Canis lupus familiaris: one gene and its partner. The protein of the gene in region 2 binds, or shares a complex with, the protein of the main gene of each other region. Links are inferred from orthologs where the notes say so. Each region holds a gene or a part of one and is shown on either strand. Other genes may lie near its edges.

Evidence for each region.
Region 1: EXOSC2 (region 2) and EXOSC5 share a complex: the UniProt entries of both Homo sapiens proteins name them as parts of the RNA exosome core complex. The link is inferred for Canis lupus familiaris from reciprocal best matches to the Homo sapiens genes EXOSC2 and EXOSC5.

What each region holds. Positions count from the first base shown.
Region 1 is NC_049222.1:113,382,772-113,387,375, reverse strand, and holds the start of EXOSC5 (exosome complex component RRP46), read right to left. Parts: upstream 2,865-4,604; 5' UTR 2,774-2,864; coding exon 2,626-2,773; intron 1-2,625. Other genes in the region: BCKDHA (2-oxoisovalerate dehydrogenase subunit alpha, mitochondrial), read left to right, coding at 3,264-3,371. UniProt on the Homo sapiens protein: Non-catalytic component of the RNA exosome complex which has 3'->5' exoribonuclease activity and participates in a multitude of cellular RNA processing and degradation events.
Region 2 is NC_049230.1:53,360,715-53,364,519, forward strand, and holds part of EXOSC2 (exosome complex component RRP4), read right to left. Parts: intron 3,053-3,805; coding exon 3,007-3,052; intron 2,563-3,006; coding exon 2,473-2,562; intron 1,195-2,472; coding exon 1,129-1,194; intron 649-1,128; coding exon 580-648; intron 1-579. UniProt on the Homo sapiens protein: Non-catalytic component of the RNA exosome complex which has 3'->5' exoribonuclease activity and participates in a multitude of cellular RNA processing and degradation events.

The DNA of each region.
Region 1 (4,604 bases), on a different chromosome or scaffold from region 2:
CAACCCTGGATTTAGTCTGTGACCTCTTCTCTTTCCACCTACACTTGTTCTCTTTATTTCATCCAATCAATAGTGTGAAACACCATCTATAGCCAGAGAATTCCAAATTATATATTTAGGTTGAGTCTCTCTCTTTTTAAGATTTTATTTACTTATTTGACACAGAGAGAGAGAGAGAGAGCGCGCACAAGGGGGGAGCAGCAGGCAGAGGGAGAGGGAGAAGCAGGCTCCCCACTGAGCAGGGAGCCTGATGCTGGGTGGGATCCTAGACCCTGAGATCATGACCTGAGCTGAAGGCAGATGCTTAACTGACTGAGCCACCCAGGCGCCCCTGGGTCTCTCCTCCCAAATGCAGACTTCTATATCCTATTGCCCTGTCCATATAGTCACTGTGATGTCCACCAGGCACTGCAAACTTAATGTTCCAAATTGAACTCCTTATCTCCCAGTACAGCTGATTTGGAAAAAAAATCTTGGTGTTATCCCTCTCCTTCTCACACTCCAACACTGAACCATCTGCAAGTTTTGTGTTTTACTTTCAACATACATACACCCAGAATCTCACCACCTCCACTGCTTCCACTCTGGTCTGAGCCACCGCATCTCCCCTTCTTTCTCATATCTATACAGTCAACACTGCAGCAGAGAGATTCTGTTAAAATATATCCAGATCATGTCAACCCTCTGAGCAAAACTTGGAAGCAGTGGCCCCCAGCTCATTCATTATGCATCACATGACAAGCAATCCTCCTTAGCTCTCCCCAGCCTCCTCACTGCTCTGGCCACACAGTCTACAGACTATTCCTCAAACACACCAGACAAATCCTTGCCTCAGGGCCTCTGCCCCTGCAGTTCTTCATCCTAGGTATGCTTTTCCTCCTGCTTATCTTCAAGGTTTGCTCCCTTACCTTTAGGTCTTTATTCAAATGTTACCATCTCATCAAGGCCTTTCCTGACTATCCGGTTAAGATCGCAACCCTCTCTGGCACACCCTATTTCCTTTCCCTACTATAATTTTTCTCCATAGGCATCTTCCGACATATTTTTTTTTAAAGATTTTATTTATTTATTCATGAGAGACACAGAGAGAGAGAGAGAGAGAGACAGAGACACAGGCAGAGGGAGAAGCAGGCTCCATGCAGGGAGCCCGATGAGGGACCTGATCCTTGGTCTTGAGGATCACGCCCTGGGCTGAAGGCGGCGCTAAATCGCTGAGCCACCCAGGCTGCCCTCCTACATATTTTTTTTTTAAAGATTTATTTATTTATTTATTTATTCATGATAGACAGAGAGAGAGAGAGAGAGAGAGAGGCAGAGACACAGGCAGAGGGAGAAGCAGGCTCCATGTGAGAGCCTGACGCGGGACTCGATCCCGGGACTCCAAGATTGCACCCTGGGCCAAAGGCAGGCGCCAAACCACCGAACCACCCAGGGATCCCCTTCCTACATATTTTACTTATCTTTTGTCTGTCTCCTCGACTAGAACATAAACTGTTAAGTCAGGGATTTAAAAAAAAATTTTTTTTAAGATTTATTTATTTATTCATGAAAGACAGAGAGAGAGACAGAGAGAGAGAGAGAGAGGCAGACAGAGAAGCAGGCTCCATGCAGGGAGCCGGAGGCAGGAGCCAAACCGTGGAGCCACCCAGGCATCCCTTTAAAATGTATTTTATTGGGATCCCTGGGTGGCGCAGTGGTTTGGCACCTGCCTTTGGCCCAGGGCGCGATCCTGGAGACCCGGGATCGAATCCCACGTCTGGCTCCCAGTGCATGGAGCCTGCTTCTCCCTCTGCCTGTGTCTCTGCCTCTCTCTCTCTCTCTCTGTGTGACTATCATAAATAAGTAAAAATTAATATAAAATAAAATAAAATGTATTTTATCCACGTATTCCCAGGACCCAGGACAGTGCTTAATGCGAATACACGTGTTCAATGAAGGAATGAATGAAAACAGGTTTTGTACCTGGGTAGAAGGTAATGCCCCTAGTGAGGAGGCTGAAGCATTTATGGGGGTGATTCTTAGGCTATCTTCAGAGGAATATTCACCCGGGGCAGGGAGCTGAGATGCATTTGGTCACGGGAAGGAGATATTTTACCCAATAGGGAAAGCCTGCCCCAAACCTAGGGATATTTACACGTATGGAGAGATGTGTATTGCTGTCAAAGGGATATATACCGCACAATCACTCTCAAATACTCTGAAAAGTATTTACCTGGACAAAAAGACATGCCCGCAGTCCAGAGAGTAATGAAGCCGGTAGTGTTGATTTGCGGGTCTATTTACGCGCAAGGGCAGGTTTGCCGCAGCCTGGCGTGCATGGACCCGGGGTGTCCGCGGGGGAGGCGGGAGACGAATTTAATCAAGGGAGATATTTACTCTGCTGAGCGCCTCTCTCCTCGGAGTATTTACCACGGTGGCGATACCGTCTCCCTTCTAGCCGGGAGCGCAGGATACGTTACTCCGGCATATCCGGGAGTATCCTCCCGGGCAAGAACTGCACCACCCGTGCAGGAGGGACACTTACCAGCTAGTGGCACTCCTCTGCACGGTAACCTGTAACCTTCCGAAACAAATACAACGTGGCGAACGTGGCACAGGCAGTATTTGCCTAGGGTAAGTCCTTACCTTGCAGGAAAGAGGCAGAGCCATCCGGCCGGGACAGCAGGTTCTGCTCACAAGCAAAGTGCCGGAGGCTGCAGCCCGGGCCCCGAGGGCCGGACTCTGTTCCAGACTCCGCGCAGGTCTTGGCGTCCGCCGGCAGCGCCCCCTCCATCGCCCCAGACCCCACGTGCCGCTGCGGAACCTCGCTTCCGCACGGGAGCGCGCGCGGGCGTCCAGCCTGCGTGCCCAGTGCGCACGCGCAGGTCCGGGGCGCCAGGACCCGTTCCCGCACGTGGCTCCGCGTTTACTAACAATCTGGCCCCTCCCACTCCCGCCTCGCAAGCCCATTGGAGAGTAGCGAAGAGAGGGCGGGCCTTGGCATGGACTCGTCCTACCCGAAGCCCCCGCGCCCTAAAGCCCTAAGGCTCTGGTCAGGTTGTCCTCTCCTTTGCCTGTTACAGAAACAACTAAGATGAGGTGATGAGAGTAATTTTGGCAAGCTAGATTGTTTGTTCCTCCCGTACCCGTGCCCTGGAGACTGCAGGGTGGGTCGCTGGTGGTTTCTTGGCAGGGCGGTGCTAGCATTTGAGTCAGGCTCCTGAAGGGGCAGCCCCCAGTCTAGCCGAGGAGAGGGGCGGAGCTCTGAGGGGTTGTGAGCCAAGATGGCGGTGGCGGCGGCGGCAGCGAGGGTCTGGGGCTCGAGTCGAGGTTTGGGCCAGGCTGGTCTCCTGCTCCTGCGCCGGCCTTGGGCTCGGGGGCTGGCTAGATCTGTGAGTACCTGGGGAGTTTTTCCCGAGGGAGAATAGGGATGTCAACGCCGTCTTCCGACGTGGGGTTCGTGCAGGGAGTGAGCGAAGGGCTGTCACAGAGGGGACCGGGGCTGAGAGAGCTGCTCCGTGAGGACATTCGGGAAGAACTTCCACTCCCTCAGGAGAGGAGAAGTGAGGCAGCCTCCTCTGTGGGCCCGGAGAGAGGGAGACAACTTGGAGAGAGAGAAGGGGTTCCGCTTTAGTTGCCACTCATGCCCACGGGAGGCCGCGTGGAGGGACACGGTGGGACGGCGAGACATTGCCCCGCAGGCGTTGGAGACTGCGACTGCCCGAGGCTGAGGCTTCCGGGTGTGGCTCCCCCTCAGGAAGGAGAAAAGAGAGATCAGCTTCTCCGACGCGGGCTTTTATAGTGCGCTGCGTTTGTTTTACTATTGTTCTTTTTTTTTTTTTTTTTTTTTTTGAGATTTTATTTATTCATGAGACCCAGAGAGAGGCTGAGGGAGAAGCAGGCTCCCTGCAGGGAGCCTGATGGGGGACTCGATCCCAGGACCCCAGGATCAGGACCTGGGCGGAAGGCAGACGCTCAACCACTGAGCCACCTGGTCATCCCACCCACATTTCTGGGTAACACTTGAGAGATGCCTCAATTCTTATCAAAAGTGTCAGAATTCCCTTGGGTTGATGCTGCAAACTGTAAGTTCACACAGCGGAAGTCTAACTTAGAAGCTCGTTCAGTGGGAGAGAGGCCTTGGGCTGCGGAACCATGAACTGAAATTTCCCAGGTCAGAGAGTAGTGTTTGGGAAGGCGGGTTCCTGTCCCCCACATGCTGGACAGAGGACTGCCCCTCCGGACCTCAACAGAGGGGCGCGTTCCCCTTTCTATAATGCTAACTGACCACCTCGTAGGGTTGTGGTAAAAATCAAGTATGTAATGTGCTGAGAACTGGACCTGGTATTTGATACAAGCAATAGGAATGTTGGTCACTGTTGTTGAAAGTGGGGGTGGAGGGAAGGGAGAGAAACTGACCTTGGAGATCAGGAGAAGAAAGGAGGTGACCTTGGTCGGACCTGAACAGGTGAGGGCCCTTGGAGGGAAAAGCGCCAAGATTTTGTGGGGTTGGGTCTGACCCTCTGATTCCCTAATTCATTAGGGAAGGAAGATAGAATCTATGGGAAAGACACTTTAGGGAGAAGAGCAGGGAAGGAGTTGGGGAGAGAGGATGGGCCAGGTTT
Region 2 (3,805 bases):
ATCCGTGCTCATCGAGGAGTCTGAGTCTGTCTCTCTCTCCCTCTGCCCCAACCCCCACCCCCCCCGCCACGTGCATGCTCTCTTGCTAAAATAAGTGAATCTTTAAAAGAAGTATGCAGTCATTAAAACAGCAAGAGCCTCAATGTAACTTCATACAAGAAAGCAGTGACATTTCATTTAAGCTCAAGTGGCAAACCAATCTTTCCCAGTAATGACATCCATTTTATTGACTGGACATTTGGCTAGAGCCAAGGCCATCAGGTTTTGCTCCTAGTACAGCCTCTTAGCCCTGCCCCATCACAAAGCTGCAGAGCCCCTGGGAGCAAGCAGAGACAGCAGAGCCGCAGAGCCCATGGTCCTAGGAGCTCTTCTGCCACAACAATCTCTGTGAGAACAGAAGCTGTCACCTGTTACAATGCTACTGACCCACGACCATGTGAACCACCCAGTTTGTGGGATGCCAGCCCATAATGCTTAACTTCCAGGGCTCTTTAGGGCCAAACTCCAGAGAGCACTGGGGATTCAGAAAAGGGTTTCAAGTCTCAGTCAGCATCCAGGAATAGCAAGAGCCCAACTTACTTTTCCGTATTTCAGACTCCTTGTGTGCAGAGAGACCGCGCCATCAGAGAACACCGCCTGTACCTCGGCCTGGCCAGACTAATAAAGGAACAATACTCTCATGGCTCCTGCCTTCCTTGGGCCCTTGGCCTCACCTCTCCATCCTTTTCTCCCATCCCCAACAGCCCCACTTGCAGCCTTAGACAGACCCAGAGGACACCACTGCGACCTAACCTCTCCCCCTTGGTTCTCTTACGTATCTTGACATAATACCTCTTCTACTCCCTGGATAAAAGCGCTAACATGGTTAAGAAAAGTTGAGTCTAACTTAAAGCACAGGCCACCATGAGGAACAACCCCAAAGAAATGACCAAGGCAACAGGTCTGAACAAGGGCTAAAGAGCCCGGCTGGGTGAAGGAGATGGAGAAAGGCTGCAGCAGAGCCCATGACACTTGATCTAGGAGCCAGATCCCCACCAGGACTATCGGTCTCCAGTCGGAGACATACGCCAGAAGCCCCATCTCCCAGCTTCACACAGAACGAGATGCTGTAAGGCAGATGCAGGATACACTGATGAGGTCCCCTTCCTGCAAGAAACCTCTCATTGCCAGCTCGTCTTCTGCAGATCTTCTCCTCTGAAACACAGAGAGATGACATGACTTAAGTCAGATCCTGCAGAACAATCTCTCTCCTCTTCTTTTTCAATTCCTCTTGAGAGCTTTGGGGCCAGCCATAGTACTCAGACACTATAGTAGGTAAACAGTGTCATTCAAGGAAAACCAGAGCGATCACCATTACTTTCCATTTTACAGGCCTTCCCACAGCTCCTCCACTCTTTCCTCCCCGCCCCCCCTTCTCTGGACAGTATTCCCACTCCTTTCATGCTACTGAAAACCCTCCCAATCCTGCCCAGCCTCCGTTCTCACACTCACCTCCTGTGGCAGCCCTCCATGCTCCAGCAGGACCAGACTAGCTCTGGCTTGACTCTATCTTTACTCACACATTTCCCATTAGCTCAGATTCCCTGTGAAATTCCATTCATTCTTCAGGGATCAATTCTAAGGCCCCTATTTCATACAAGCATCTCCTAGTGAAATCACTCACTCCTTTTGTACAGACACTTGTTTATTCTTTGACTGCCAGGTATTTAGATGTTATCTCGCTTCCCCTGCTAATCTGTGCACTTTGAGGAACTGAGCTGAGCCTCCTTTATCTTGCGTTCTCCAGAGAACCTAGCACAGTGAGCCCCTCTGAACATACATGCTGGACTGAAGAGAAACCACAGCATTTTACAAAAGACCACCCCTTAGGTACTGCAGTTGTCTGGAATAACCAAATGCCACTCAATTTATGAAAAGCTAATCTAAACACAACTTTTCAAGGAACACCTTCACCATGCAAAGCTGATAACACCCAGAAAAGGAAAATGAGCCCCAAGCATCTGAGAGCCTCTCTTCTCTCTTTTGGGCTCACTCCCCAAGGCTGTTCCAGATCCTACCACATAGCAACTGCTGCTTATGTTGGAAGGCCTGGGCCAAGTGAAAAGCCTACATGTACCTCCAGGCAGCAAATCTCACAGGAAATAAACACAAGTAAAAGAGGCAACCTCGGGATCCCTGGGTGACTCAGCGGTTTAGCGCCTACCTTCGGCCCACGGCATGATCCTGGAGTCCCAGGATCGAGTCCCACATCAGGCTCCCTGCATGGAGCCTGCTTCTCCCTCTGCCTGTATCTCTGCCTCTCTCTCTCTCTCTCTCTGTGTGTGTGTGTCCTCTCATGAATAAATAAATAAACTCTTAAATTAAAAAAAAAAAAAGAGGCAACCTCAGCATAAAGCAAGAGTTCCCTAGTGGAGCAACAGACCCCAGAGCTTTTGCTAGCAAACTATGTAAATCCAGCCTGGAGACCCGTACCAGCTCTCCTCCAGGAAGGTTCATGGATGACAGGAGCAAGACTGAATCCAGCCTAGAATTGGTCTCCACCTTCCACCTCTTCTGTTGAACCTACAGAGAAATTTCACAATTGGACACAGACTCCAGGGGCAAGAACTCACATTGTTAAGTGACCAATAATCCCCAATACAACACACCAACTGTTTACATCAAAGGGCACATAAGAGGCACCTGGCTGGTTCAGTCAGTTAAGCGTCTGCCTTTAGCTCAGGTCATGATCCCAGAGTCCTGAGATCAAGGAACCCTATGTCTGGCTCTCTGCTCAGCGGGAGTCTGCTTCTCCCTCTCCTTCTGCCCCTACTCCTGCTTGTGCTCAACTTTGGAGCAGTGTGCTCTTTCTCTCTCTTAAATAATAAATAAAACCTTTAAAAAGGGGGAGGCACATAAGAGTCAAATGCAATGAGTGCCCCATTTACTTAACTACAGAGAGTGACTATCCCACTCAATCACCAGCTTGCTTTTACTTTGTAAAAACCAATCTGATACCAACTTTACCTCTGTGATTCTCCCCACCACAATGTCTCCTACTTCACCATTATATCTGAAAGATAAAACAGGTCATCCATCAGTGAAGAGACCTTATTACAAGACTAAGCACCACTGGAGATTTCAGTTCAACAGCATGAGGGCTTGGATTAGGCACTAGTATGAAGTATGGTAAATTCACATAACTGTGCTTTTCTGACTTACTTCCAGGAACTCGTAACTTCAAACATTCCTACATGTAGGAATAGTCTCCATTAACTATTTTGGACAAACCATTTATTCCAAGTAGTTCGTTAAGCCTGAAACCCCTATTTTGTTAATTACATAACACCAGTACGCGTGGAATATTTCCTAGTGGGCTTTGGAACACAGATGGCTTCTGTATCAGCAAAGGAGACTGAGACAGGACCCCACTCAAACCAGTCCACTCAGGTCTCCACCAGCCACAGGGTTGTCGACTCCCATCCCTGTGCTAGTTCCTTATCCCAATTCTAATGATGAGGTGTTCCATGCTGTGAACCTCTTCTCTGTCGGCCCACGCTCACCTTTTGGTGAGCTCATCCAAAGTAATGACTTTAAATACCACTGAGGACTATGCCATTCTCCTGAATTGCAGTCTAGTCAACTGCTGGCTACCTAGCATCTCTATTTACCTGACTAATAAGCATTTCTGAATGTCACCAATCTAAAGCAAAGCTTTCCAGCAGCCCCTGCCCAGCCAGTGAAGCCTCAATAAACGGCAACACCATTCCTCAAGTTGCTCAAGCCAAAAATCTTGGGAGTCTTTGGAGGGATACTTGATTTCTCT